Drosophila melanogaster: one gene and its partner. The protein of the gene in region 1 interacts with the protein of each later gene in a pairwise test. Each region holds a gene or a part of one and is shown on either strand. Other genes may lie near its edges. The genes, in order: Pez and CG11899.

Region 1 (18,138 bases):
GCGCAGATGGTGCGGCGGGTGAAAGCATATCTCAACAGCCTCAAAATACTCAGTGACGAGGACCTTTTGCACAAATTCTCGCTGGAATGCGAGCCCGCGCACGGGTCCACGTACTCGGGCAGCATCTCGCACGGAAATACCTCACACCGAAGCGGTGGTGGAGGCAGCATCAGTGGCGGTGCTGGTGGCAGCTCCGGTGGTGGTGGCGGGGGCAGTTCCAGCCTCAATGCCGGCGACCAACTGAGCATCTATTCGCATACCAGCTCCAGCTCGGCGCCGAACTCCTCACTATCGCTTCGCAAGAGGCACCCAAGTTCACCCACCCTTTCGACTACCAGCTCAACGAGTTCTACCAGCGATCATCAAAGAAGACAGATGCATAACAACGGCCCAAAGTTTGGCACAGCCTCGCCACAAGCAGTTAAAAAGATGCTATCGCTGTCAGAGTCCTCCAAGATTCGGCCGCACCAGCCATTCGTGCCGCGTCACGGATCCACAATGGCCGGAGTGATTCCACCACTGCATCACATGCATGCGGCACATGGTTTCAGCACACCGTCGCCTGGAGGAGTGGTCACCTCACCGGCAACCAGTGCAGTGGCCAATGTTCAGTGTACGCCAAGTCCTAGTCCCTGCTCCCACCGACGACTGGCTTCTGGAGGTAATGGAATTATTATCACTGCCTCATTGTATATCACTAACTTAATTGGGTCCATTGCAGGCAACATTATTCCCTCTCGCGCAATACACGAGCGGTCGCACTCGGACACACCAGCTCCGCCGCCGCCTCTACCCTCGGTCGATCTCTCCCTAGAGAGCAGTAGTGTAACTACATTTCGCGATTTACCATTGCGCAAATCCGTGACTTCCGGTAAGTGCCTCGTGCCCTAAGATCGTAGTTGTATATCGACTAAAAATACGTTATTAGCTGCTACTAAAACCCGATGCTAAGTATGCTCATATAGTGCGTTTCTTAATTTCGGAATTCTTCAGAAATGTTTTTCGAGTATGCTTAGCAATCGAATCCCGATAAATAAATCGTAGTCGCCAGTTATTTATACCTTGTTAGTTGCGCTTTAGACTCCGTTCCCTGCTTGCATTTGAAACGTATAGTTTTTGGTGGTTGGGTTGGAATTGTTTGGTTGTCGGCTACACAAACGCAAACATACATATAACACGAAAACACAACACACACACTTGCACCACGTGGTACCATGAAATGAATCCCAAATGGAGGTCACCATTTCACGGACGCCATCTCAGACATATTCTTTACCCTAATTTCACACCCAACAGGTTCCATATCGTCCTGCGACAGCGGCTACGTGCATCAGCAGCAGCATTACCACTTGCAGTACCAGCAGCAGCAACAACAGAACAGCTCGCAACACGAGCCATCCCCGCCGGTCTATACCGCAGCCGACTGCCGGCTGCTTCAGCAGATATCGAACAACGCGGTGACCCGCAACTTGAACAGTCCCTGTCAAAGCACAAACACACCACCCAGCACACCTACACCTCCACCGAACCAGCCCACAGCAACCATTCAGCTTTCTGCACCGCCGACGGCAGCAGCATACATGCACGCACGCAGCCAGCATCAGCAGCTCCAGCAGCAGCAGCAATCTTTGGCCATGCCACCACCGCCGCCACCGCCGTACAATGTGCCCCCCCTGGGCAGTATCTACAGCCACCACCAGGGCACTGCTGGCAGCAGGCACCTGAACCACATGCATGGTAAGACGACCGGACCGCAAGAGAGATGGTTTCCAGATTGCCGTCCAACGACAAAACAACAAATGCAAAGCGGGAGTTGAGTCGGGTCTTTCTGAAATAGGCGTTACACCGGGTTGTTCGACTTGTTTTTCTAGCTACGTTTTGATCTACGTTTTGTAAGCTTGACTTATGTACCCCACCTTAATTATATCAATTTCTCCTTCACAGGTGGCCCGCCAAATTTTATGGATAGCACCAAGTGTACCATATGTCCCATGCCACCCATGAATCAATAATGAATCAAATTGTGCTGTTTTAACCGCTATATGTTTATTTAATTAGTTGTAAGTATGTCGATTTTATGTTATATCTTAAGAACCATAAGCTCACAAGATAAGCTCCGACTTTCAGTTTCCAAGAACAACTTGAGTACTTATGGTTCTGAAACGTTATTATTACTTTTAGGTCATCAATTCTAACAATTTGATCTTTTCATTTCAGCAGATAGAGTTGCCAAAATTTGTGAATGGTTGTGGTTTCAATTTCGCCAGCAATCAGAAACAACGTATCCCCGATCACCTTTACCCTTTACGGAGCTGCAAAAATATTACTAGCATCCATTTGTATTGCGTATTTACATTTAGTAACTGAGAATTTAATTTTAGTTAGGGCTTACCATTTATTATTTAATTTAGCTAAATTCTTTGTACACACTTTCTACCCATCATTCACCGCCAGCGTAGAAGTTGCCTTTTCTCTTAAAAGAAAACGTCTGCAGGCAGACCCTCTCAGCAGACCCAACTAAAACTCTTTTGAAGACTTTTCGTCGGCATTTACAAGTGTAAGAACAGAACAAAATAATTTTAAAGCCCAGCACAACAACGAGACGATCAATTGATATAGAAACGCAAACGGAATCAACTCGAAGCCACCATTAATTCCATTAATCTATACTTCTTTAATACTTATGTACAAGCTAATTTTATTACAAGCATACTCCTTTAAACGCTATATATACATATATATTACGAAAAACCTTCGCTCCAATTCCAAATATTTAGTTGTTAAGCCCAAAAGAGAGATAGACAAAACATTTTTTCGAATATATTTTTGACCATTCGTTCCGAAGAATTCAAAGGAAGAGTGGCAGACAAATGCAATATTTGTGTATAGAATTATACAACTCCTAGCAATACCTAGACTAGCCCACAAAAAAAGGAAATCATCAAAGTACAACTTCCACGAAAGACAGAAATAAGTTATGAAAGACAAACCTGAGACATATAAAAAACCATATATAATCATTTTTGATCGTATTTTTCTCACACGTAAGGAACTCCAATATGAATATTTGTGTGTGCATGAATGCCTGTTATATACATAGATATATACAATATATATATATACAACCTACATATACAAGCTATATACAAGAAATCTCTATATATATACAAACCATGAGTGGAGACCCGTTTCTCGCTTCATTTTCAAAGAGAAAATCAAACTATGTTTTGCTGAATTCGAGAAAACAAAAACAAATCAAATCAAACGATATTGGATATGCTATATATGTATACATTGTGCTCTTTGTACTTTTAAGTTAGACTAAATACCAAATTTGCTTTTTAAGGCTTAAGAAAAACATTAGATCGAAGCCTAAATTGTACTCTGTATAAATAAAAATCGCGTATTTTGCTTAATGATTTTCTGTATTTATATATCTGTATGTTGTGCAGCTAAATGATTAGATTTTTAGGAATCTTTGAAAAACGACGAGAGACTTTTTTCAATGTCATGTTGAGCGTTTATTTTTGCAACTTGTCTGCAAAGGTGCACAAAAATAAAATTATTTAATAATGAATATTACCTTGAAAAAGTGATCTTTTAATTGTATCTTTGATTTTCAAAGATCCTGGGGACGTCTTCTTATAAATGTTCAATATTCTAGTGGGGAATGAAAAAAGTGGGCAGTTTAAAAAGATTTTTAAACTTTTCATCAAATTGAGAAGACGTCTAAAAAATGAATGTCTGGCTTTTATTACCGAAAAACAAAATTTGTCCTAAATCTGAAGACTATAAATTCATAATATGTCTTCCTTTTTGCCACGTATTGTATGAAAATGTCTTCAGATCGCCAAACTAACATGAAGTACATTTAATTCATATTTTAAGACCTATGTGACAATTATACATGTATTAACTATGTTTCGGACCATCAAACCAAATTAACAAAAATAAAATTAATTTTTTTCAAACCTTTTCTTTGGGGAAGCGCGCTGGGAATAATTTTTTAAGAAAAAACACGTTGCACGTCGCATAAGAGTTAAATGTGCTTATTGCTTTTTATCAATTTGTTATTGTTTTTATTTCGAAATTTATTAAAATACACATGTATAAATAGTTCGGCTTTAAACCTAAGCCCAATTGTTGTGGCTGTGGTTAGTTAACTGGCATTTTTACTGGCTTGCCAAAACAACTACCTATCCGCTACTTTTATATTTATGTATGTATCTATAAAGTGGCCATTGTGGGGGGTTCTGTTTTTATAACAAATCTAGAGCTTAAAAACTAGTTGGTATTAAAATTTAACGATTATAGGGACAACAGCTGCCAGTAGAAATATAAAATTGCTGAACGGAGTTGTACTGATTTTTTAAAACGAGAACTAAAGGAAATTTGTTCGATATAAACAATTTAAGCTTAAACAAAGAAAAATACTTCTTGCCAAGTTTTCCATATTCTTTAGAACCTCAGATGAGCCTCGTGCGCTTCAAATAGGTAATAAGCAGATTGTATATGAACTTGTATTGCGCCAGGGATGGTATAATGCTATCCCGTTGATGCCTTAGCTGCCCGATAACTCGAGGTATATCCAGGTCCTGCGATCGTAAGAAAATAATGCTTATGGAAATGGAATAATAAATTCCCTTTCTCCACTCACCTCATTGTGGTCCAACGTGTACAGTAAAAGATCGGCGGTCAGTGTCACTCCCGAACGACCGCCTCCCTCCAGACAGTGAAGAAGAACTGGTGGGTTTGTGTTATGTCCCGGCGGAACTTCTTGCGTAGATGCCAATCGCACGGAATTCAGCTCCTCGAGGAAATCGAGGAAGTGATTCACATCGCGTGGACAATTCTGCTCCGCCCAGTCAGCGTACTGCAAATACCAAACGGATCGGTATCGACGCGATGGTACGTGGTAAAGGCGCAGCTTGATGGTGGTGCATCGATCGGTGGTTTGTGAGAATTCCTGATACACTTGGAACTAGAAAGTAGAACCTTTGAGGAACAGAACTAAAAGCTTATGCGGTTCACTTACCTGTCCAAACTCGAGACGCTGATGACTGTTACGAGGAATATAGCTCATATCCTCGGTTAGCTGGACCACCAAATACACATCCGCCTCCCATACACACTGCCAGAAGATGCGCATGGTAAGCGGTTCTTGTGGCGACTGGGCCACAATATAGAACCGCTGCTTTGTGCCCACAGTGGCCTGAAAAAGATGTTCCAACAATGAAATACACAATTTGCTTTTCATCTTGAGTGTCAACTGAACGTACAGATATGGAGGAAGCATTAACGTAACCATGCCGATTGTCTCGGCATGGAGTCAGTCGCACTCTGTTGTCGTCATAGGGTAAAAAGTTGGGGTCGTGGTTCTTTGGCTCGTTCTCCTCCAGCAGGGCGCATTCGTATAGGGCATGCTCCCGTCGTTTCGGTATGCGTTCGAACTCCATGAATAGCTGCGAGTCACTTAGCTTTTGGTCTAGGATTTGGCACTGGAAGTTGACAAGCGCTTTAATCGAAATGGATTCCAAATCGTAATAACTTTTAACCTACCAGTTTGTCCTTGGAATATCGTCCAGAAATGGGCTGCGGCTTGTTGACGCCTGTGGACCAACGATTTGGCAGGTTGAGATCGTCTTGGGCTAGCTTTAGCTTTGCCGCCAGCTTGGAGTGCTGACCTGCCGTTGTGGCCTTTTCCCTGCCCAGTGTGGCGGATTTCTGTTTGTCGGGTGTTTTGCTGCGTGACAAAAAGTTCCATCGCTTCTTGCGTTTTAAGTCTTTGCTGGCCGCCGATGAGGACGTGGTGTCCAGCGTTGAGTTGAACATGGAGGATGTGGAAGCTGATGTGTTGGCAGAAAGATTCATGGCACTGAACTGCTGTTGCAGCGTGTCTCCGGCCGGCGTGATCATGTCGACCGTCGACGACTTGTTTAGGCTTGCTGTTGAGCGATGTTGTCGTGGCGGAGGTGTGGCTCCCATATCTGGCGCTGCACTGGCGGCTCGATTGGTCCGCTTAGGAGCCTGCGGTTCCAGGAACAGCAGCTCCGTGCTTGCTGCTCGGTCTGCGCCGTACTTCTTTATGTTTCCATCGTCGGGTGGAGAATTGACAGTTACAGTAACTACGTTGTTGGAGCTGGCGTTTCGAGCAGCTGGAACAGGGACAACGCCTGGGGCGGACTGTATGGAGGAAGCTCTTTGACGCATAGCCTCAGTATTTGCGGCACCACTGCTGCCACCAGAGGCTCTCTGTGGCAGGGGTACATTCTCGTAGATGGGCTCGATGGAACCGTTCACCAAGCTCCTCTGTAGTGGCGCCGGTGTCGCCGATTTATGGGACGAAGCAACCACCGGCGGTGGAAGCGGGCTGCTCGCTGGCGGGGGCACAGAACTACGATATCCACTCGGCGGCAGGGTAGGTGAACTGCAAGATCGTAGCGAAAAGTATTGTTATATTGTTTATTTTACGACTTCATTACACTTACCTCTGCGTTACCACAGATCCGGCAGCTGCAGCTGCTGCCTGACTCATCGCTGACTGTCGCAGCTGGGACATTATAGACGGCTGCTCCTCGATCATGTTGAGGTTCTCGAAGGTGCCGTGCGGGGGCAGATAGGGCTGCGAGTGCCCCATGTGGCTCACGTACTGGTACTGGTGCAACATGGTGGCTCCGGAAGATGTTGGAATATTTCCGGCATGTCCGCCTGCGGGCAGAGCAACGTACTGACCGCCATTGAAGAGCGTGCGGTTAGAGACTAGATCCGGCGAGGAGCCGCTTACGTAGTTGCGGAAACCCTGAAGGGGACGGGGAGTGGCCACGGCCAGATCGGGCGTGGAGGAGGAACTCAGCCGATTGACATACGGCGGTGGGGCCTTGTGACGCATCATATGCATGCGCTGCGAGAGCTCTAGGTATGCCTGGGCGGGGCTCATGGGCTGTGGATGTGACTGCGGTTGATGCTGTGCCTGGTACAGGTTGATGTGGTGGTGTAGGGCAGCCGCCGGCTGGGCCACGTCCGGATAACGATGCGCAGTCATATGACCATACAGTAAGTTCTCGTTGTGCATGCCTGGATTGTGTACATCAGGCTGGGAGCCCGCATAGTAGGCATTTCCGGGCGCGGCCATTGCCAGTGCCACATTGTGGAATTCCGCCGATGGTGTGCGGTACTTTAGTTGGACCGCCGTCTCATAGTCTGGTGCCGGGCGGTATGTGGGCAGCATGGCTTTGAGGCGCTCCCGCTCATCGTTGTTATTGTTGTTGTTGCTGCCTCCGTGGTGCAACATGCCACTGCTGCTGTGCAGGTTGTTGTTGCTCAAATCCAGGCAGGAGCTGCTTTGTCCCAACATCTGGTTAGCGCTGGTAGCCAGCGAAATGTTGGAGGAAATCATCTGCTGCTGCTGAATCTGTTGCTGCTGCTGCATATGTTGCTGCTGCTGATGATGCTGTTGCAGTTGCTCGGCGGCCGCCGCTTCATTGTAATCGTAGTCGACATAACCAACGCTGTCAACGCCCAACGGACCACTCTCCGCATCCGCACCACTTCCCAGGCTCGAGGGCGTGGCCGTGTCAATATAGCGCTTGAAAAACTTATGCTGGCTAATGGTGAGCTTCCAGAAGTAACGTGCCGTGTCCGCCTCGCTGAATATAAAGCTTCCCACGATGCTGCCGCCACCATCCAGCTTGTTCTGCTCGATCTTAATCGTTCGCTTGTCGATGGTCACCGTGTGGAACTCCTTCCATGGAAAATACTGCCGACCGTTGTCCGCGTTCACCACCATCCCGTTGATGGCCAGGCCCAGCAACAAATCATTGCCGAGCGTGTCCTTGGCGGCGAAACGTTCCTCCCCATACCCCTCCAGCTGCTGGCAGCACTGTATGTACATCTCCTCCGCCTGGCTCTGACTCAGATGTGCAATGCCCGCCTGCTGCTGCAGGACCTCCACGATCAGTCCCTCCAGCATGCTGTCATCGTTGGCCAGGCCTTGCATGTTGCGCGGCAGGACCAGCGACTTCTTCAGATAGTCCTTGCTCTGTTTGTCGCCCTGGTAGCTATCGTACTCCGCCTGGCGGCAGTAGAGCGCCAGCAGTATGGCCGTGCGGATGTCACAGGCGATGCGGCCCTCGTAGATGTCGCTCTTCAGCTGCAGAAAGTAGTAAAAGCGCGTGGCTTCGTCGCTCAAGTGGCGCACGCCAGTGGTCACGTAGTGGCGAACGCGCAAGTAGATCTTGGGGCCCGCCGCATACTTCTCCAGCTGCCGACTGAGCGAGCGCTCCAGGTCGATCCATTTGAACTCGTCCTCCTTGTCCTTGCCCTTGACCAGGTAGCGCAGTCCAAAGAACTCCGGCTGCTGGATTAGCAAACGTTGGCAAACGTTGTCCAGGCACTCCTGTCCCTTGCTCTCCGAGCTGATCGTGCAGTCCACTGTGCTGGATGTGTCTGCAATGTAGGTAAGAGTGAAAACGTGCTTCAAACATCGGCCTAAGTCGCTCCAAGCACTCTAAATTCGCCGCACAACAACAATTTGGCCCTGCCCGTCGCACGCGCAAATATGCAAATAAAGTTTATAATCTCTTTCGAGACCTTATACGTTTTATGGACGGAAATTGTGGCGGCGCCGCTCAATTGGCTTCTCTCATCTGTCGTATTTCCTAACTAACGAAACGTAGGCCTAATGTCTAAAACCTTTCTGATGGTTGGAGAAATTTGGGTGGTTTTAATTGAGTCAAGGTCTTCAGTTCGCTTGCCAAATAAGTACATTCGGTTAAGTGTATAAGAACTACAAAACATGCTTTTGTTTAGCCCAAAATCGAGAGTAAATAATATACAAAATGTGAAGTACGCAAAGTTAGGAAGTTCTCATAGGCAGTCTGTTAGTTTTAGAATTAACGGTCGCTGTTATGTGTCCTGTGCGCCTCTGTTAACTCAGCGACTGTTAACTAGAATGCAACAAGTGAAGGCATTTTTGTGGTCTGTGCCTTGGAAGGCGAATTCCAGCTAAACTGGAAGTGGGCGCCGCATGACAATCGTTGTGCACATTCCCAATTAAATAATCCCAATTGCAATGGCAGACGGCAGCTGTTAAGTTGTGGCTTTGTCACCGATTTCTTGTTGTTTCTATTGTCTCGTCTCCACTGTTGCTATTGCTGTTGTTGTTGTTGTCGTTGCTGTCGCTGTTGTTGTTGTGGGGGGCGTAGCGCCTCTAGGAATGTGGGGCTTACTCACCCAGCAGGTGATGCACTGATATAACAAACAAACTCTTGGACGTAACATTGTACTGGCGACACTTTTTCAAGAATTTCAATGGCATTTTTCGACTATTTTGCTCCACCGGGGCTCCGCTGGGCTCACAAAAGTGGCTAAAACGGCAGCACCATCGACACCACAGGTTTTTTTTGGGGGAGTAAATTGCTCAATTGGAATTAGCCGATTTGAATCAGCTGATTAGACACGCAAACCAGAGCACTGCGCGTATTGGTTAAGTAAAGTTAAAGATAGTAATTGGGCAGTTAACGACAATAAATAAAGGAATTCACGAGAAATAAAACGAAGAGACCGAAGTGCTGATATCGATACGCAGGTGCTGACTGAGTATCTCGGTGGCTGGCATCGAATGGATCGATAGGCGGCATTGACTATCGGTATGTCTTTGCGCAGTGGGCTGCAAGAAAATAGGTTTAGTTCTGTTAAAGAAAACAAGTGCAACCAAGAAATATGTAACTGAAACAAAACAGTTTATATTTTAAAATATATAACAATGCAGTCAGCAGTGATTAAATAAAATTCCTAAAGATATTAAAACCACTGATACACACGAATACTTCGTTGTACACAGCAAGAGAATAACGGTTTCTAGCGAACAGTAAAATATCAAACTTAACAGAGCTACTGGACACATAGGTGGCGTGCTGGCATAGCTCTGTTATCCGTTCCAACTCCAGTGCTGGAAAGTGCGCGCAACTGAGAAATCCACACCGCGATTCGACGACGGTCCCTCTGGAATTCAGTAATTTAGTACTGCTGCTGCCGTGGTAGTCGTCACTTCCCCTTTGCACTTGCCGCCCTCCGTCAACGTTTTATCGAATAAAGCGAATTAAAATTAAGATCGTGGCTTCGCCCCGCTGCGTAACTGAATAAAGCGAATTTAAATCAAGGGCTTTGACGTCTGCCAAGCTGCTGAGAGGGGCTGCAACAGGAAGAGCACCAGAGACGGGGCACAAATCCACATCCACATCCACCGATCGTCGTCTATCTACAGAGGATTAGGAGCAGCGCAGTCGGAGATCGCGATCGGTGAGTTTCGAGGAGCCGAATCACAAGGCCACGCACTGTCGAAATCCAAAAAGCAAAACCCGATTACCAAAATCGAAATCCAGTCCATAATTAATTTGCTGCTTAGATATTTCGAGCGCTGCATTGGCGGTCAAGGTTGCAGCGACGAGGACAGATGATGGAGCAACCGTATCGCTCACTCGCTCGCTCACACACACACACACACACAGAAGAGCCCTGCGAGCGAGTTTAAAGTTCAGTACCTGTTGCTGCGCTCGCCCAGTCTCCCTCTCCCTCTCGCTCTCGCACAGCCTCGCCGCCGCCCGTGCGATAGTGCGCTCTCGCTCACTCCGTCCGCGCTGCGTGTAATTTAATTTAATTCACTTCTGTTATTAATTTGCGCTATTTGCACGCTGTATCGCCGCCTTTCACGTCTCAAACCGAGTCGTAGGCCGAATTGCATAACCAAAAACGCGACTCGGGTCGCCAATCGGCCATCAAGTTACTTTTCTGCTCGTGGCTCTCCGCTGAGAACAGCTGTCGACTGTCTGCTTCCCGTACAGTAAGCACTCGATATGAGCGACGAAGCTATGTTCTTAATTTCCGTTAACCTGCCTTTCCTTATTCAAAAAATCAACATTTGAAAATCCTAAGTACACCAACTTTACACATTTTCCAATTGGAGTTGGCGTTGCATTTAGTTTCCAATTTATTAAAAACAATTTGTGAAAAAAGCCAACCGATATATTGTTTTATGCTAATTAAACACACACACATTAATGACGATGTAAACAAAATCCTAGTATCAAAATTTACTACAACGAAATTGAAAGTGGCTTAGTTCGAAAAGCCGAAGTGTGTATACTCTTGCTGCCTTGTATAACTGAACTCTGTAAAATCGTTCCATTTTGAAAGAACTAAGAACTTAGTAGGAGATACTGCAAGTCTAGGTATGTACGTACATACATATTTACATATATATAAATCAGTTAAAATATAAAAATTGTACATTGTTGTACACTTCCTAAGAACTTTTATGGATAAAAATTAGTTCTCTGAAATTCAAGTTCAAAGACAAACTAAATAAATATATTATATTATATGTTATGACACCCCATTATAGGGTTACCTACCTATTAAAGCTAGACTATTAGTTCTTCCAATTAAAGAACCATTAAAAGGGCAGGTTCCGTAATGGGATTACATTTAATGGACTTCGGTTAAAGTGAGCGCGGAGTTACATTTCATCCTTTCCAGACAGCCAAACTAGGTTTATGATAACGAAAGCCACTTGGGCGCGAAATAAATATGCATAGTCATGCTTACTTTATAATTCTCCGTCGATTCGGACGAGTAATTCGAGAGTGTCATCGTGTTTAGGGAATTTTAAAATCACATATGCCAAGCGAGATTCTAAGCGTTATCACGCACATTACAAGTGTGTAGGGTGATACTAGATGGGCGTTTGTTGTGACTAGATCGTAAACTTTGTTTGAATAGATGGCTAAGCAGAAATAACCAAGATCATTCATCTCATTCATTTAGATTAACTACTTAGTCGTAAACTAGAAAAAGAAGCACTCAAATAAAGAGTGTTTTTGGAGGAAACATATACACATTTGAACGAGTTAGGATCTATTGTTTCGTAAAAAAAACTAAAGAAACCGAATTTATGTTAACATTTTTGGAACATTTGTTGGTTTTCGTGATATATATGTGTGCTTCCTAACACAATTTAATCATTGCGCTGTCGTCATTCCGTCAATCGAACAGCACACATGGGTGACCTATAAAAAGACGCCAATTTTATGTTCACCTCCACTTGTTGTCAGTGTTGGTTGTTATCGGGAGCGTCGAACACATACCTTCCTCGAAATCGGACGAGAATGACGATACTGGCGTCGATTTGCATATGCCTCGCATGTGTTTAATATTTATTTTCTGCCTTTTGCTGACCACAGCAACAAGAACTATTACGCGACTCTATACAAAGTTCACGCACGTAGCGGCGCATTAGCAACATTAAAGCATTAAGTCAAACCCGAATTCAAGGTGAAAATTCAGTAGAGCTCCTTAAGCCCCCACAAAACAAAAGATAACACCTGGGATCAGCTCAAACTTCCAACTGCTTAAGTTGAGAGTTCTAGTAAAAATGCTTTCGGCACTAGTTAAAACTCAAAGCAGTCGGGGCGAATTTCATTGAACTCCAAGTGTGCATTTCAAAACCCAAACTCTAGCTTAAGTAAACCCTCTCAATTTGCATTTCCTATGCTTTTTTTTATAAATTCGGGTAAAGAAACGTATACAAACCGTATATGTACATTAAAATCTTTAAGTACTTCATAAACTGAATCCTAATGAAAGGGAATGTATTTTGTTTGGGATGATTTTAATCCGATTTCACATTGACAAGTACCAAAGCCTTTGCTTAGTGCAATTGGCGATTTCCTGGAACAACGGCTGGTAAAGGTGTTAATCGAGTGATTGGAAATCAAATTTCGTTATTTTGCGCCGCTCAAAGAGTATTTGCTTGGGAACAGCGCATTTCGAACGCTTTTACTCGTTTTCATCATATCTCTCGACCGGCGACGGCATTCGATAAGCGCGTGCATAAAACCTGTTGCTCCCGGCGGTCAGTGAGCAGTGCTCCCTAACGCGAAACACACGTTGCGTCGCCACAGAGGCGGATCCAATCGAATTCATAGCTTTAATTGCACCAGTGCAGCACTGCAAGTGATCGACGGAGTAGTCGTAGTTGTCAGTGCAACGGGAACGTCCCAAGGTACGATCGATTAAAACCAGATGCGCGATTTCAATGTCAACCGGCGGCGCTGGCGGAACATCCAGCTAGAGCGGTACCTTGCACCGCTAAGACAAGTGCGGAAGCGGACGGACTACCGTTAGACGCACAGGCGATGCTACGCCGCCAGCGCTGGTATACGTGGAATACATTAGAGTGCGTGTCCAAAGTGCGCGACATGCAAATGGAGCTAGACCAATGTTATGCAAAGCGAAAACTAAAGCGCCGTGAATTCTGTGCCCTTTTTTTGCAGTCATACACGTACCACCATGGCCAGCGAGCAAACGATTGATGGAGCAGCCGCAATTCCCAGCGGCGGCGGCGACGAACCCTTCCTGGGACTGCTGGACGTGGCCCTATTGGCGGTGCTAATCGGCGGCGCAGCCTTCTACTTCCTGCGTAGCCGCAAGAAGGAGGAGGAGCCAACCAGGAGCTATTCCATACAGTAAGTATAGTTAAATTTGAGCAATCTAAAGCAATCTAATCCGAAGTCCAAAACCATGGCAATTCTTGAATTGAATAGTCAGTTTCTTGATAAACCTTTCAAAAAACATGCATATCACGCGTACAATTCAATATTTAAAACTGCTTCTTGAATGAAATGCCCTCTAGATCTATTCGGTTCATTCCGTCACAGATCCATATGTTCCGCCGATTTGTTGGAATCGATCGGCCATTATTTGACGCTGAATGATTCACACATCGCAAATGAATGTGTGAATACCATTGTGTGATTCATTCGTTGATCTGAGTGTTTACCTGCGTGTTAAGATAAGATTCAAATTTGGCTGAGATTTTAACGCATATCTTTACCTTCTTCAGACCCACCACAGTGTGCACCACCAGTGCGTCGGACAATTCGTTCATCAAGAAGCTCAAGGCATCCGGACGCAGTCTGGTCGTCTTCTATGGCTCACAGACCGGAACCGGCGAGGAGTTCGCCGGCCGTCTGGCCAAGGAGGGCATTCGTTACCGTCTGAAGGGCATGGTTGCCGATCCCGAGGAATGCGACATGGAGGAGCTGCTGCAGCTGAAGGACATCGACAACTCGCTGGCGGTCTTTTGCCTGGCCACCTACGGCGAGGGAGATCCCACTGACAACGCCATGGAGTTCTACGAGTGGATCACCAGCGGCGATGTCGATCTGAGCGGGCTAAATTATGCGGTGAGTACGAGCGATATCACACGGAACGGTCTTATCTGCATGCATACTGATTACACGAGTCCCCCTCGCCAAACACGGAGTCCGTTCCTCTTATCAAAACATTGTGCCACTGATAAGTGATTTTTATTCCACGCCCAATCGCAATTTTGGCTATCTCCCCGTATTTTTGCGCTTTGAGTTGTTTGTTGTGTTTTAATACAGCTGATGTAAGCGGAACGAAAACATTTGAAATGGCATTGGCGGATCCTAATTAACAGATAGGCTGTAACCTGATAGTGTAGCGCGCACGGAAGAGTTTGTTTTTGATAATAAACCTACTATTATTACTCCCCATCTCCCAAATGCCAGCAGTTCAGCGTAGACAAATTGATAGAAATCTAATCGTTTCTTGGTAGCCTTGGAGGTGTCATACACCTTAGTTTCGTTGACTTTTAAACAACGTTAAATATAGCATATTTTATTGTTGCCGACAGTCCAACTGGTAGTAAACCAAAAAGGAGTTCTATATTATCAACCTTATCAGTTGCCCAATTCGAATTCCCCGCCAAACTAGCAGCTCAAAAATGCGTCGTTCAGGTTCGCGCGCCGTAGCAGTCGGCTTTTGACTGGCAGCAGTCGCACGGAATTTTTAGTTGCTTCTTGAAAAACAATGTGCTCAATGTCGATCTCTGTTCTTGCGCAATTTGTTTACAATTGCCGTGGAAATTCTGCGGTTCAATCCAGCAAATGTCGGCCGGAAAATGCAGAGCTCGATCGCCACATCTGCCCACCTGTTCGTCAGGTTCCGCCAGCAAAAGCTGTTGAATTTGCTCAGCATTTTGAATAGTTTACGTAACAGAACAGCTGTCGCGAAAAGAAAAATTGAATGGAAGGTAGTATGAAGTTCAGTTCTACAATCAATCATAGTTCAAACTATTAAACTGATAAGTGATAACACTCAAACTTATTATGAGTCTCATTAAAAAAGATGGCTTAGTTGTTCATTCGTGCTCTGAAATTCGCGTTCCTAAGATGCATCATGTATTTTAAGTAGTTAAGTTAACTGAATTCCATTCTATAGTTACTAAATCCACTCTTATCTGATTCCAGGTCTTTGGCTTGGGCAACAAGACCTATGAGCACTACAACAAGGTGGCCATCTATGTGGACAAGCGACTGGAGGAGCTGGGCGCCAACCGGGTCTTTGAACTGGGACTGGGCGACGATGATGCCAAGTAAGTGATGAAGGTGTAGCCAACAATGTGAACCATACTCAAGTGATACTTCCCCAAAAGCATCGAGGATGACTTCATCACGTGGAAGGATCGCTTCTGGCCCGCCGTGTGCGATCACTTCGGCATCGAGGGCGGCGGCGAGGAAGTGCTCATCCGCCAGTACCGTTTGCTAGAACAGCCAGATGTGCAGCCTGACCGCATTTACACGGGAGAGATCGCCCGCCTGCACTCGATTCAGAACCAGCGCCCGCCCTTCGACGCCAAGAACCCATTCCTGGCCCCCATCAAGGTGAACCGCGAGCTGCACAAGGGCGGTGGCCGCTCCTGCATGCACATTGAGCTGAGCATCGAGGGTTCCAAGATGCGCTACGATGCCGGAGATCATGTGGCCATGTTCCCTGTTAACGACAAGAGTCTGGTGGAGAAGCTCGGCCAGCTGTGCAACGCCGATCTGGATACTGTGTTCTCGCTGATCAACACCGATACGGACAGCAGCAAGAAGCACCCATTCCCTTGCCCCACTACGTACCGCACCGCTCTGACCCACTACCTGGAAATTACGGCCATACCCCGCACACACATCCTCAAGGAGCTCGCTGAGTATTGTACTGACGAGAAGGAGAAGGAGTTGCTGCGCAGCATGGCCTCCATCAGTCCCGAAGGTAAGAAATTATTCACAAGACTTATTACTGCTGTACCAGTAACAGGAACTCCCACGAACATATACTAATGAATGTTGCATTGCAGGAAAGGAGAAATACCAGAGCTGGATCCAAGACGCCTGTCGCAACATCGTCCACATTCTGGAGGACATCAAATCCTGTCGCCCACCCATCGATCACGTTTGCGAGCTGCTGCCCCGCTTGCAGCCTCGTTACTACTCCATCTCGTCGTCTGCTAAGCTGCACCCCACTGATGTCCACGTTACAGCCGTTCTCGTGGAGTACAAGACGCCGACGGGACGCATCAACAAGGGCGTAGCCACCACATATCTGAAGAACAAGCAGCCGCAGGGCAGTGAGGAAGTAAAGGTTCCGGTATTCATCCGCAAGTCGCAGTTCCGTTTGCCTACGAAGCCAGAGACACCTATCATAATGGTGGGTCCTGGCACTGGCTTGGCCCCCTTCCGCGGATTCATTCAGGAGCGACAATTCCTTCGCGATGAGGGCAAGACCGTGGGCGAGTCGATTCTCTACTTCGGTTGCCGTAAGCGCAGTGAGGACTACATCTACGAATCCGAGTTGGAGGAGTGGGTTAAGAAGGGCACTCTCAACCTGAAGGCCGCCTTTTCTCGTGACCAGGGCAAGAAGGTCTACGTGCAGCATCTGCTCGAGCAGGACGCAGATCTTATATGGAACGTGATTGGCGAGAATAAGGGGCACTTCTACATATGCGGGTAAGTAAGCTAGAGGATCAGCCAGCACACAAGATTCTCACCATACCATTCTACCCATTTCAGTGATGCAAAGAACATGGCCGTGGACGTTAGGAACATTTTAGTGAAAATTTTGTCCACTAAGGGTAACATGAGCGAGGCTGACGCCGTGCAGTATATCAAGAAGATGGAGGCTCAGAAGCGCTACTCGGCCGATGTCTGGAGCTAATCTGATCCAAAAGCCAACCGATGATAAGCGTAAAGTTTTCTAGTTCACTAAGCTATGTAAGCGTAATTTTTGGTTTGGGAACTTCATGCTGCAGTTCAACAAACGAATGAGTAACGATTAAGTGTATGTCTAGTGTAATTGACTCTAGCTTGACCCTGGACTGTTTGATGGGACAAACTGAGATGGAATCTAAGTAATGAAATGAGCGGAGTAACAAGTTAACGATTAAGTAGCTGTGTACGAGTGCAGATTAGTTAAAGTCCTTTATACGAGCAATTTACTTCGTATTCTCTTGGTGATTTCAATACAAAAACGAAACATGTTGTGCAATTAAACAATGACATTGCAATTGTATTTTTATAAATAAAGAAAAGTACGGTTGACTTCTATAATAATGTGTGTTTGATGTTTTCGAAATAGGATAAGGATAAGTAGGGAACATTCCAATTGAAATTTAATACTTTTTCATAAGAAATAGATTTTTATATATATAAATGGAGATTTTATTTGTCTGAAAGGAAATATAAGTGCTGCATACGTTTTGTCTGAATAATAATTAAAGTTCCTGTCACAAATTTAGCGCAATTGTAAAGTTACAACACTCCACATAGCTGGTAGTTTGTTTTTATATAATATAAATATTCTTTTGGCAACGTTTTTGAAACTTTAAACCAGATTATTTGTATTTACAAATGAACGAAATGTTAAATCATTAAATACATATTTGTAAAAATCCTAGGTAGATATATTCAAAAGGTACATATATAGTAGTAGTGCAATTGTACTTCAATCCAAGACACCAGCGCGTTCAAAGTGCGGTAGCGTGTAGCGCAGCGTATCCGCCAGTCGGCGGGACTGGAACATCTGACGCACCTTCTGCTTGGCAAAATCGGCGTCCTTGAAGTTCTCCAGGTTGTTGTCGGCGGTCTGGGCCTTGTCCTGGCTAACAGTGGGGAAAATGCCGTAGCTGGCAAAGAATCCGTAGGACTCGCGACGGTGGACCTCCTCCAGGATTTGCTCGTAGCTGGGCACCGGGATGCCCATGTCCAGGTCGAGCAGCGTTTTGGCCAGCCGCGC
Region 2 (13,710 bases), on another chromosome or scaffold:
GATCGGTTCGAGACTCGATTACAATAATTACAATCGGCTACGCGCGATTCACCAAATCACAGCAACAACCACAGTGGGACATGCACTTCACAGATGCGCATTCAGATGCAAATGCTTAGATACATTTGAACGGGGCTATTAGATCTTAAAGGCTTAAATCCTGTTTTCTTAAATTATTAAAATATAATATAAATAAGTTCCTTTTAGGGAGGCTGCACTGTATTACGTGCATATAAACAATCTTTATAAGAAATTGAAGTCAAGACGCAGAATTAAAACAAAACTCATCAACATCAACGGGCACTGCTGATTGTATGGGTTTGCGTGTGTGTGTGTGTGTGTGTGTGCTTAGGGAGGGGGGCCAGCAGAATGAGGAAGAAGGGGCAGAAGAATCAAGAGGAGAATCGAGAGGAGGCGCAGATCCATCTTCTAGGCTCCATTTGGCAAAGCGAATCGGGCAGAACGAGAAATTGAAAAGACAGTTACAACCTCATAATGAAGTTCGTTCTCCTCTGCATCTTCTCTTGCCCCCCATCCCCCACCCCCTTCTTGTGTCCTCCAGCTACGTATCTGTATCTTTCTCCCGAAGCTTGGTCTTTTCTCTTGGCGACCGAAGACTGCGAAGAAGTTTACAAAAATCCAAAGCAAAACCGCATGCTACACATAAACACACACACACACTCACACTCGCAATTGACGCACACACAGATACATTGCACCCATACATGCGCGTAAATCGTGATGTCGTTGTATATAGGGGAGCATAGCGATTTTGCTGTTGTTGTCTTTGCGAAATTGAGCGATAAATGAGCAGCGAGAACGAGAATCCGAAAGATACGAAATCGAAAGAGAGCGCCAAAGAGAGCGAACTGAAAGTTCATTTCTCGCATGCGATTTTCCAGCGCCTTCAACGGTAGCTGCGCACGCGTTAAAACGATCTTTCAGATACGTCATAAAAGAAAGATGTTTATTATGAGCAAAAAGTTTGGGTATGCCTTCTGTGTTGAATATTAAATGAAAGCTGGTTTTTATTAAAGAGAGAGAGATGCTTTGTAGTTCAGTTTAAGCAATGCAGTTTATAAATACAAATCAATTGGAAATCATATATTTATAAGCATGCCTAAAGGTGTAATTGCTAATAGCGATTCTTTCTTTTGTGTGGACGTAACCAAATGAAGTAAACTGGCCAAATTAATGGTTTCCGCTTTGTATCTCAAAAGAGCTGCTTTGATTTTCTTCTAGCGTTGTCCAGCACTGCGAGTGCAGCAGATGCAACTTGGTGCTGGGATGCATTCACTTGTGGCCAAAGGCGCTGCTCACACAGATACCCACCGATGCAGTGCCCCCGCACTCGCACTGGCACTAACACACACACACCTACGTACTGGGGATCGGTGGCAAAGATGCAAGATGCGCTCGCATTGCAACTGGCTTTTGGTCTATAATTCTTGTTTCTGGTTTTCGTGCTGCCAAGATAAGGAGTGGGACATGGCCAGCACACAGCCTCATCGTTATTACGTTCCTCTGGCGTATGATGACGGTGGTGCTGCTGATGATGATGTTGCAAATGATAATGATGACGGAATCATCATCTTGCTCTGGAGAGGAGGACAGGAAACTGCAGCAGCATGGCGCTTTGGCTCCCAAAGGAAGCTGACCAGTAATATTTACATTTATTGCTAAATTATGCACACTTTTTTGTGCCGTACTCGGGTATTTTTATTTGCAGGCCCATCTTTTTCACGAATAATTATTCAGTTGATAAGTCATATCTCTTGCATTTTATATCTGATTTGGACATAGTCCGGTCTTTGTGTTTACCCCGAAGTCAATTGCATATTTTAGACCACTTCAGTGCAGTTACTCCTTTGATAAATACGAGCAATTTGGGAAAAAAGGATTGCAACACATCCTTCGCTGTTAAGTGGAGAAATATGCAGATTCCAATTAATCACAATACCACTGCATTTCTTTATATCATATATTCCGTGATAGATTTTCCTAACCATAGTATATAATCATCTAGAAATTGGACAATCATGCCCGCTTTGTTTTCTACTTAAATGTAAACAACGCCATTTATTAATGAGTTTGTAATTTGAATAAAATTCATGACGTGAGCCCATTTCTATGGGGTCGCAGCACAATCTCTGCGGTTTTCCACGGTGAAAAGCGTTGCGATTGCTACTAATGGCCGGAGATTTTCATGGAAAGTTGGTGCGGTTGCTGCTGCTTTTTCTTGCTTATGAAAATTTCACGCCAGTCGAAAAGAATTATTAATTGCGCAGCGGCAACGGGAACAACAACAACAACAACATTTAGCCACCACCGCAGAGGAAAACAACAACAACAACAACAACCGCACACAAATTTCAAAAGTGGGAATTATGCATCGCTGCGCAGAAGCAGAACTCTAAAAACGCACATAGGGAAAATCCGGGGGTAAATGTATCTGCATCTGTATCCGTGGAAGTATCTGTATCTGTGTGCCTGTAAGCGCGTGTAAAATATGGTAAACATGGAAATACGTAATAACTGAAAAAAAAAAAAACAAGAAAACCAGACCAACAGCTACAAAAAGAGTGTAACAAAAAAGGGAAATATAAAATCAGGTACAAATTTTCACCAAAAACAAAAAAAAAAAAATAGAGTTTACATCGCTCTGTCGACGTCGACAGTGCATTGTCATTATTGGTTGCCATAGGCGTCGAAAAGGGGGTTCCCCTTTATGGAACTATCACCTCTAAGCTTACAATCCAAGCATTGTAATGGAGTTTAGTGGGTTCTGATTAATTTGAAGGGTAGTAAAGCAGCTTTATGACAATTATTGGTTGCTTCATTACTACCTTGCCCACATTCTGAGCCCCCCTAAAATTGCGGTAAGCCGACGCCCCTACTCCTTGGCTGTTGTAAAAGCTGGCTTGGGCCTGACTTTGACGATTTCGTGGTCACACAGTGTGAAGAATGGCTAGGAAATATTGTATGCACCGTTGTTTGGTGGGCTGTTACCGATTTACAGATTACTGAGCCAGATAACAAATGAAAGTGCCCTGGCATTTGCTTTTTTTTTTGTATTTTTAAGTTGCTCCGCTGGTTGGACAGGAAAGAAACCCAGAAGGAGGCGATCGTTACAACAATAGAGAAAAACGTTGATTCAACCTTTTAGCTGTGAAGAATAACAGCACTTTGGGTGGGTTTTGGTTTACATATGCTTTATGGAGAAAGATCACCGATAAGAATCTGGCTAAGCTGGGCTTGATGTGGAAGAAAGTCTGTGCTGGGATTTCTAAGCATCCTGCCTTCTCTGTAGTTCCAGAAACTAACTTTTTTAATACTGCTTACACAAGGGAGAGGGGCTTAGATGTTTTCCAAATAGTTTAGCAGAGCTTTTAAGTGCATTTCGATCGATATGTATCTTAATTAGTAGGTAAAGGTTGCTCTTGCCGGCTTTGTGTGAAATGTCATTAAAAAATTGTTGTGAAAAAGCTTATACTTTTACACATTTCAATATTTCCAAACAATTACATATTTTCTTCGCAATGACGATTTTTTGCCATCAAAGGAGGAAGTCTAATATTTTGCCATAGGTGAGTACAGTAAAGATAGATTCCTAAGTGTTAATCTTTCAATTGATAATGTATATTGTTATTACTGCATTTAAGCCATTCACTTGATCCGTAATTTTGCATGTGATGGTGTTATATTTAAATTAATATATAATAATTAAAATATTAACTTACCGCAACACACGTGATTTCATTTCGACAGAACATATTTCCCCAAGTGGTGACAACCCCAGTCGACAGAGCTTTCCAACACTGGTTGCGTTGACATTGTAAATAAATCGTTTTGAGAGATAAAGCTGAATCCGACCGAAAATGGCCAACAAATTCAGGAGTCTGAACAGCAAACTTTTCCAGCTGGCCATGAGCGGCATCCAGCGGACATCGGTGCGTCCGCGGATAAGTTTTCCGGGTCGTGGAAGCGGCTTTACTGGAAATCGCAAGCTGCTGGGAGCCCTGGGAGCCCTAACCGGAACAGCAGGGCTGCTGATCTACGCCCTGGAAACCAGCGTGGATGCCTCCTCGGACTGCGTGCATCCGGCCCACCAGCACTGGAATCACAAAGGGCTTTTGTCCGCCTTGGACAAGGAGAGCGTGCGTCGAGGTTACACCGTTTACAAGGAGGTCTGCTCCTCCTGCCACTCATTGCAGTACATGGCCTATCGCAACCTGGTGGGAGTGTGCATGACGGAGGCGGAGGCCAAGGCCGAGGCGGAGGCCATCACGGTGCGGGATGGGCCCAACGAGGAGGGCGAGTACTACGAGCGTCCCGGCAAGCTGTCCGATCACTTCCCCTCTCCGTACGCCAACGAGGAGGCGGCCCGTTCCGCCAACAATGGCTCCTATCCGCCGGATCTCAGCTATATTGTGTCGGCTCGCAAGGGCGGCGAGGATTACGTGTTCTCCCTGCTCACCGGATACTGTGATCCTCCGGCTGGTTTTGCCCTTCGTGATGGACTGTACTTCAATCCGTACTTCTCGGGCGGAGCGATTGCCATGGGCAAGGTAGTTGACAATGAGGTGGTCTCCTTTGAAGATCCAAATGTGCCTGCTTCGGCCGCCCAAATTGCCAAGGATGTGTGCGTCTTCCTCAAGTGGACTTCAGAACCGGAGACCGACGAACGTCGCCTGCTGCTCATCAAAGTTACTCTGATTTCGACCTTTTTGATTGGCATTTCCTACTACATCAAGCGTTTTAAGTGGTCAACGCTCAAGTCTCGCAAGATCTTCTTCATTCCCGAACTGGAGGCCCAGGCCAAAAGAGAGGCGGAGGAGGCCGCCAAAGCAGCGCGCAAGGCCAAGGAGCAGGAGTGCAACAAGTGCGAGAACCAGAACGAGAAGAAGGACTAAGTTTGGTGAACTGTTTAAATAAAGGTTTTTGAATTTAAATGAATGCCGCGCTTTTTATTTATCGATAGGTTTTCCAGGGCCTAACCATCCGCGCTGTAAAGCACCAACAATTGCTCTGTTATAGATTCTTGCCGGTCTGTTAAGTCAGCTGTTATGTTAAAAATGTAAATAAATGCAAAAAATAAGGTTTAGACTTTAAATTTGAACTAAAGGCCCGTTCATTTAATTATTTCTTACAACAATGGCCACATATCCATCTGCCAAATTCATGGAGTGCCTCCAATATGCAGCTTTTAAGCACCGGCAGCAACGTCGCAAGGTAAGCTTATTAAAACGCAACAAATGATATATTTAAAACATGAATACTATCTTTTTTACATTTCAAGGATCCTCAGGAAACCCCCTATGTGAACCATGTGATCAATGTGAGCACTATTCTCTCCGTGGAGGCCTGCATCACAGATGAGGGAGTCCTAATGGCTGCACTTCTGCACGATGTCGTGGAGGATACGGACGCATCTTTCGAGGATGTTGAGAAACTCTTTGGACCGGATGTTTGTGGACTAGTGAGGGAGGTGACGGACGACAAGTCCCTGGAGAAACAGGAGAGAAAACGCCTGCAAATAGAAAATGCAGCCAAAAGCAGCTGCAGAGCAAAGCTCATAAAGCTGGCTGACAAATTGGATAACCTAAGGGATCTGCAAGTCAACACACCGACAGGGTGGACACAGGTATTTGGGCCCATCTTGGTTTGAAAAACGGAACCTTATGGATCACATATTTTCATTCCAGGAGCGTCGTGATCAGTACTTCGTTTGGGCCAAAAAGGTGGTGGACAATCTGCGAGGAACCAACGCCAACCTGGAGCTCAAGCTGGACGAGATCTTCCGCCAACGCGGCCTTTTGTAAACGATCAAAAACCAACAAATTACAGATGAACCTGTTCAATTTTTATTGTTCTTGTAAAAGGCCAGCATCAGATTGGCCAACTGTTGGGTCTCCGCCAGCGTTACAGCATTGTAGAGGGAGGCTCGAATGCCGCCCACCGACCGATGACCCTTCAACTGAATCATGCCCTCGGCCTCGGCTTTGCTCAGGAACTCCTTCTCCAGGGCATCATCTCCACTGGCACTGCCAATACGGAAGGGCACATTCATGCGCGAACGCACATTGACATCCACTGGGCAGTAGTAGAAACCATTCGACTGGTTGATCGTGTCGTAAATCAACTTGGACTTGGCTGCCGCCAGCTTGGCCATACCAGCGACTCCTCCGTTCCGCTTGATCCACTTGAAAACCAGGCCCATCACATAGATGCTGCAAGGGGAAAGTTTAACAAAGAATTCACCAGCCATGTATCATTCTGGGCTCACCCAAAGGTCGGCGGAGTATTTAACAGGGAGTTGTTCTTGTCCATCTGCTCAAAGTTGAGGATGGAGGGCGTAATCTTCAAGTGCTTGCCTATCAAATCGTCCCTGACAATGATCACCGTGGTGCCCGCTGGTCCGATATTCTTCTGGGCTCCCGCATAGATAACGCCAAACTTGGAGACATCGAAGGGACGCGACAGAAAATTGGAGGACATATCGGCCACCAGTGGCACACCGGCTGGAACCTCGGGCACAAAGTCGAACTCCACGCCCTCTACGGTCTCATTGTCGCAGTAGTAGACATATGAGGCATTTGGGTCCAGCTTCCAGGTCTCCTGTCGTGGAACAGTTGTATACTTTGCCAACTTGGGCAGCACCGCGTTCACAGTGCCGTACTGAGCCGCCTCCTTGGCCGCCTTGGCCGACCAGGAGCCGGTGATTACATAATCAGCAGTGCCAGTCTTGCCAATCAAGTTCAGAGCCACTGCAGCGAACTGTCCGGTGCCACCGCCCTGCATCAGCAGAATCTTGTAGTTACTGGGCACATTGAGGAGTTCGCGAAGATCGCTGATGGTCGCATCATGGATCTTGGCATAGTTGCTGGAGCGATGGGACATCTCCATGACCGAGATGCCGCTGCCATTGCAGTTGACAAGATTTTCCTGCACCTCTTTCAGTACCTATATATGCAGATAGAGATAACCATGTAATCAAGGTTACTATTACACGTCACGTGTGTGGAGTGGTGCCACCCATTTCACCGACCTCTTCGGGCAACTTGGCTGGACCGGCGGCGAAGTTGATAACCATGCTGATACTATGTAGTGCGTCTGCGATCTATGAACCTCTCCGGGAAGCGGCTAAATATTGACTAAAGTGTTGAGCAGTCCGTGCGAGTATTCGCAATCGCTGATAAACGAGACGAAGGCGGGCACAGAGAACAGCAACAAGTCACCGGACAGTAAACAAAACGCGTGCGGAAAACCAGACTCAAATTCGCCCGACTGGACAACGAACTCGGTTGCTCCAGGGACGGATTCTCCACCGGGAGGGTGTTCGACTCCAAGCCCCCCATTTTGGGCTGCGCTCCTGTGGAGTCCATAAAGCCAGACAAAGGCAGGCGGCGGTACGGCGAATTCGATCAAAACAAGTCGGCTAACGTATATAATTACATATGTACGTACATACATACATATGTACATATGTGCAACGCACGAAAACAAAGTGCTTCCCAGTAACCCCCCCACTTCATCGTGTGTGTGCCCCGCCCCCAAGCCAGCGTGGGTTGCCATGCACTTTTCGCTGGAATGACAATAACAAGCGAGCGACTGAGTTCGCAGGCGAGTAAACAAGCTGCAAGCGAAATGTGTAAGTGCAATGTACAGTGGAGCTTCGATGCATGCGACAGTGAGTTTATGATTTCATAGCTTTTTATTGAATTATCTGTAGAGTATAACCAATATTAGGCATTATATATTTAACTAAGGCTTAAGTAAGTTGGCTACCATAATTGGTAGTAAATTTCAAGCAAAACAAACCGTCTGCCGATTAGCAATTCCGCGAACTCTTTTGCACGCCTGGTCATATCTGCAAACCGATTCCTTATCCTTATCCGCTTCCTATTGTTGTAAGGGCAATCAATCAGAAGTGCTTTAGACCTATGCTACGAATACTTATCTTGGCCTATGTCTTGGTCAAATTCGTTGGCCGTCTAATTACTTTATAGCACAGCCAGCCTGAAAGGTGCTTAGAGTTTCCAATTTGCCGGGGCGCCCAAAACGAATTTCCTATGAGAAGCTGGCCAACGTGTCTGGAAACCCAAACGTGCTCGGCTCGTGCGTTCCATTTCGGACTTGGAGTGGAGTGGGTGGGAGGATGTGGGCGGATGTGGGTGGCAAGGTGCTGTCTGTGGTGGGCGACGGGAACTGGTTCGCCTCGTTGGGCGCTGGGATGTGGGCTGGTCATTCATAAGCGCTGAGCCAAAAAGCCAATAATTTTGCCCTGTAATGTTGATTGCACAGCTCAATGGGGCGCCTTTGGCGTCCGACGTCCAAGACGTCGGAATGGTGAATGGCAGTCGAAAAAAAATCCTCAAACAACAATTTCGTTTTGACTAATTAGGGTTTTTAAGATTTATTGCCCGGCTGCCTTAAAAGTAAGTACATAATTTCAGTTATGGCCGCTCCGCCTGCACTTTGTTCACAATGTCGCTCCAAAACGTTCCGTACTCCTGTAGCACAGTGCCCCTGCAGCGAAAAGTGAAAATGTTAATTCTTATGGTTGCTCGCAAGTCATGATTTTTTCTAATTTATTCGCAAGGAAGTCTATAAATAGTTAGTAGACAATGATTAGGCAATATTAGCAGATGATTTTTAAGGTGAGACGACACTGGACTACAGTACTTTCAAATCAAATGGTTATGGAGAAAATAATACATTTTATAGCTTATAATTCTGTGCATTAATTCCCTTAGTGTACTATGATGATTGATTTCAGATCTTGTGCAAGATGTGTCCATAAACTTTGCTTGTCTGTTTGTGATTAATACCCATATTTGCATATTTTGGTTTTGGTAGAATGACAAATGAGACAAGTGTCCGGAAAATAAGTTTTGTGTGGTTAATTCACAGTTGGCACTTGTCTATGTTGGCCAGTGTTATCTGCCGACAAAGTTGACAAAGTTGCATAAAAAGCATTGACAGCTTTTCTTTGGCTTTTTTGAGCTTGTCACTGTGCGGCGTCTTTGCCGTTTGATGCCTTTTTTTGTGGACCATTGATGAGGGGTGTGCTCTTTCCAAATAAATCAATTACATAATGCCTTTTGTGCGATTATCCGGCAAGTTTTTGTCCGCCTGACAATTATGCGCGCATTACATTATGTGGGTCAACGTGGCGTATGATTAATGAATCCCTTCACGAGGCACAATGATGTTGCCACGGCTTATGCTACTTCCACCGTCGCCTCCGATGATAATGATGATTATTATGAGGGTGATGGGCCATAGAAGACACGAACTGCGTTGTACGAAGCCAGTTTTGACAAAGTGCTTCATTGAAACTGTCCGAAAAAATGGGTGCTAAGCGGTCATTTATTTTATTAAGTTGGTAGTGAAACTTCTGCATGCATTTAAGTTGTTTGCTGTGACTGTAAGAGCACTACTTAACACTGAAAGTTAGTTCGATTATAGATTCTAGATCTTTCTAATAATTCCATTGGCTTGAGCTATATAATTAACCCACTCCTCCTATAACTTCCAACTTACGTGAAGTAGACTTGTCCCCGCTTATTTTGCGGTGCCTTCCAGATGAGCTTGGCGCCCAGCTTGTCCCGGTTGTCCGAGTGCGTAATGGCCGAGCACTCTGGAATGGTCTTGGTGTTCTCGCTCTGCACCCACTCGCCGATCCACTCGTTCGAGTTGGCATCACGCGCCTGCAGGAAGAATCCCCGGAAGACGGTGCTCTGGTCCGAGTGCGGGTAGATGACCACCGATATCTGCTGGCCGGGATGGTAGGTCTGCGCATCGGCCACCACCTCGTACGGATTCGAGTGAGCCGGCTGACTCCGGGCCTTGCCATGATTCGGCTGATTCGCCCGCTGCTTCACGCACGTGTCCGCCGGAGCGCCGTCCGGAAAGGCGACTGCGGCGCCTATCAGCAGGAGCAGCTCCAGCGACAACCACTTGAATCGATCCTTCATGGCTCTGGAATTCGATTTTCCTGATCGTGGGAAAAAACGCGCGCGCTCTCGGCTAATCTGACGCTGAAACTCGGCTCGCCGCCGCCATCGCCGGCCGCTTATAAACCCAAGCGGCAATGCCACAAGCGACGCTGCCGCCGAAGACATGGGCGGGCGGTTCAAGTGGACAGATAGCCACAGTCGGGGGTGTTTGAATAGGAGCGTTTAGCTATCCAAGAAAGCCAGCTATTGGAGAAGTCAGTGCGCTAAATCATCTTTTTCTTGACTACGATAAAACTTTTTCTAAAAAGTTATTTGTACTGTTTAAAAAAATATTCAAAAATATGCAAAAATATAAACGAATATTCCACGCTTTTCTTCCAGAACTCTTTGCTGTTGATCAACTGTTATGATAAATAGTAATTAATAGCCTTTGATAACTTTATTTACTAAACAATTGCACTAAGACCCAACCGTAAATCATTACTATTATTTTATTTGGTTTTTAATTCTTAAAAGAACTAACACGGAATGATGTGTCAAGAATAAATCATTGACAGATGCCAGCTGCCATCCCAATAGATTTTCTTTGACTAATTTATGGCCGCAGCGGTGCTATTAAGCTGACCGCAAATGTAGTGGGGCGCTCAGCTGGCGGCGGCCAACCAGTTTTTAATGATCAAAAAGCAAATGGCCAAAACACACAGAGTTCCTTTCCTGCACAGTGATCCAAACTGGGTCACACATTAGTCCCTCCCCTGGTCGACGAATCGGATTTCTTTGCTCGGTTTGGTGGTCTGGGCCCGAAACTCTGGTGCTGCTCTAAGTGCTCCATTGCGAAATTCTATGCTTCTAATCGCTGAAAATGTTGGAAAATGTTGGAAAATGCTGTCCGCACTGCAACATGTTCCGCAGTTTGTTTACTTTGCGCCTGTTCGCTGCATTTTTCAGCGCGTTTTAATGTTTTAATTGACAGGCAGCCGCCGTTGGCGTTGATTTCGCTGAATTGAGTTGGCTCCGGTTGGGTTTTTCCTTTTTCTGATTTCTCAGTTGTGATTTTTTTCTGGCAGTTCGCTTTTCCCCCTTTGATACCGCTGCGTTTCGCATTTCACAGCTTCAGTCGGCGGTTTCCTTTCTGGGATCCGCCAACGCCATTCCTTCGTGGAATATGGTTTTCCACCACCTCATTTTCACTTTAGTTTTTGGCAAGGGGGATAATTGCAACAGCTGCTGTCAGTTGGAATACAAATGGAATAATTAAGTCAGTTCTTTAACTTTAAGCATTTGCTTAAATTTTCATTTATAAATTGTTCGGAATGTTTTAAAATAGTGTTTATACTCATTAAGAGAAATAATTATGCGAAATAATTATCAATTAAACTATAACAAATGGCACACAACACAGCTATGTGTTTTATAATTCCTATTTTCGCAGCATATTTTATAGCTAGAATGGTAACTAAATAAAAAATATAAATAAAGTGCCCAATTATTTCTGCTCACTTTAATTATCTTTTTTTTTTTTTTTTGTTATTCACAAGCACTGCAAACAGCATACCGAATGGCACACAAATTCTAATTTAATAAATGCGCAAATGACCAACAACACTTCGGGCCAAAACACACTTTTAAGTGCTAGTGTGTGTATCTACACGCACTCACACTTTGGGCCAAGTCAATACCAAACTTGTTTCATTAATTAAAATGTTCGGTTAATTATTCAAATTGCACGTGCCAGCGTCAGCAACTTTTGCGCACAAAACTAAATTGTTTGCTTTTGGCAATGTGTTTGTGCTGAAACGTGATAAATAATACTCTAGATTGCTGAACTTTACAATTGGACATTGGCGCTTATTTGCATTTCAAGTTGGCCGCACTGCAAAGGTCAGTTAACCCGGTGGCTTTGCTTTAACCGAAGGATCAGCGGGCCGAAAGGACATATCATCCATTATGGATGCGGCGAATGCGAATTTTCAACTCCCTGCACTGGGCAGCAGCATACCGAAATTTTCGGCCATTGAAAATGACATTTGCGCCACATCACACCAGGTCTTGTTACGCTACACAGAGAAAAATATACTAAAAATATTATAGAATTTCATTTTATTATGAATTAATCTATTCATATTTGTTTGATATTTTTGATTTTTTTTATATATAAAATACACTATTTACAAAACTTTAACGCATCAAGTCATGCCATTATCATAGAGTTTAAAAATATAAGTAAGCTAAATATTTTATCAATTAATATCTATATATAATATATATATAATATGCAAGCTGGTAATGTGTTTCTTTCAGTGCATCCATCCTCCGGCCAATGCATGCGAAATTTACTTCAACCTAAAGTACGAAAAAAGTGGGCAAACGAAGGAAAACTGCCAGCCGCCTTAAACCGATGTGCCATGTAAATAGTGGAGCTTGTGGGCTCAGAGGGGGGGATGGAGCGGTGGCCCGAGGAGGGGTCGAAAAATCCACTTCATCGGCGACGGTTGGCGCGGAAAAGTGTGTCACCTGCAGGCGGGAAATGCGCAGGTCCTGTGAGAGGAAAAGCGGCTGCCGCCTGATGGTGACTTTTCCTCGCAGACTTTTCACCAACGCCACATTCGCATTTTCCACCAAGGCTGTGGGAAATTCGGCTCAGAACGTGGTCAGACGTCGAAGCGCGTGGTCGTCGAGTTTTCCGAGAAAATCCAGTGGGAAAGCAAACAGTGCGAGGCAGCAGCAGCAGCAGCAACAACAACTATCTAGAGCAAAGGAAATTGTGAGCAATTTGTATTTTAGTAGTATATTTCTTACGCGCGTGAGTGTGTGTGTGTGTGTGAGTCAGTGAATGAGTGTGTAAGTGTGTGAATGTGGTGATGAACCGAACAGCGTGCAACAAGAATAAAAAACGAATGCCCAAAAGTGCCAAACACAAACAACAACAAAAAAAACGAGATGAAAACAGAATATACATAAATGGCAAGCAAATATTTTTCTTCTTGAGCAGGGCAAAGAAAATCACAAACTGCAGCGTATCCATGCCCTCAAACCAAAAAAAAAAGAAAAACAAAAAAATAAAACGAAGAAAACAGTGAAAAGCAATCAAAGTAATAAACGAAAAGGGGGGAATGGCGAACCGAACTGAAAGCAAATCAAAAAAATCAATGCCCTTTCTGCGGAATTATACGTTGCGTATACGTGATATGTACCGAGGTAGCCAAGTCAAATAATAATAAAGGAAATTCTCACGTGACGCATAAAAAAGCCAAGCTCGCACACACACACAGCGATGGCAACAGTAACACGGCATGCCCCTCAAACATACGCACACAGCGGTAAACTTACTACCTGGGACACAAATTGAAGTTGGCGAAACATATTTGCGCAGCAAAGTTGCTACACGCAGCGAAAACTCGCTGCAGTAGTTTCAAATTGTGGGGGGAAACTGTGATAAACACAATTCATAACCAGAAAAGAGTTGAACTAATCAGAAATCTATAAAAGATCTTAAAGTTATGGCTATTTAAAAGCAATGTGGTGCCTAAAGTTGTGGTAGTGCCTAAAAGTAGGCAATGGAATTTGTCATTCGTGAAATGTGACTTGCTGCGTATGTATATAAGTATGATTTGTGTGAAATATCATCATAGCACTGATGAAATTCAAACATTTTCTCATCTTTTCTTGCAAAAGTGTCCCACTTTTCTCCGCCTGCATTTGGAAGGCACATGATTATGATGAGCTTGCCTCGCAAACTTGTTTCTTT

The links.
Region 2: the proteins of Pez (region 1) and CG11899 interact in a two-hybrid assay, tested with the Drosophila melanogaster proteins (one large-scale study listed by BioGRID).

The regions. Positions count from the first base shown.
Region 1 is NT_033779.5:6,328,827-6,346,964, forward strand, and holds Pez (Pez), read right to left. Parts: upstream 9,846-18,138; 5' UTR 9,822-9,845; intron 9,668-9,821; 5' UTR 9,317-9,667; coding exon 9,232-9,316; intron 8,446-9,231; coding exon 6,489-8,445; intron 6,428-6,488; coding exon 5,560-6,427; intron 5,499-5,559; coding exon 5,280-5,498; intron 5,213-5,279; coding exon 5,036-5,212; intron 4,982-5,035; coding exon 4,658-4,981; intron 4,596-4,657; coding exon 4,467-4,595; 3' UTR 4,055-4,466; downstream 1-4,054. Other genes in the region: PDZ-GEF (PDZ domain-containing guanine nucleotide exchange factor), read left to right, coding at 1-661, 722-871, 1,297-1,817; Cpr (cytochrome P450 reductase), read left to right, coding at 13,348-13,523, 13,901-14,243, 15,333-15,457, 15,518-16,119, 16,205-16,853, 16,917-17,061; CG9497 (uncharacterized protein), read right to left, coding at 17,848-18,138.
Region 2 is NT_033777.3:29,193,904-29,207,613, reverse strand, and holds CG11899 (uncharacterized protein), read right to left. Parts: upstream 7,161-13,710; 5' UTR 7,094-7,160; coding exon 7,049-7,093; intron 6,964-7,048; coding exon 6,287-6,963; intron 6,231-6,286; coding exon 5,858-6,230; 3' UTR 5,844-5,857; downstream 1-5,843. Other genes in the region: Cyt-c1L (cytochrome c1-like), read left to right, coding at 3,879-4,913; Mesh1 (metazoan SpoT homolog-1), read left to right, coding at 5,155-5,232, 5,300-5,644, 5,706-5,822; CG14515 (uncharacterized protein), read right to left, coding at 8,457-8,529, 9,547-9,980. UniProt on the Drosophila melanogaster protein: Catalyzes the reversible conversion of 3-phosphohydroxypyruvate to phosphoserine and of 3-hydroxy-2-oxo-4-phosphonooxybutanoate to phosphohydroxythreonine.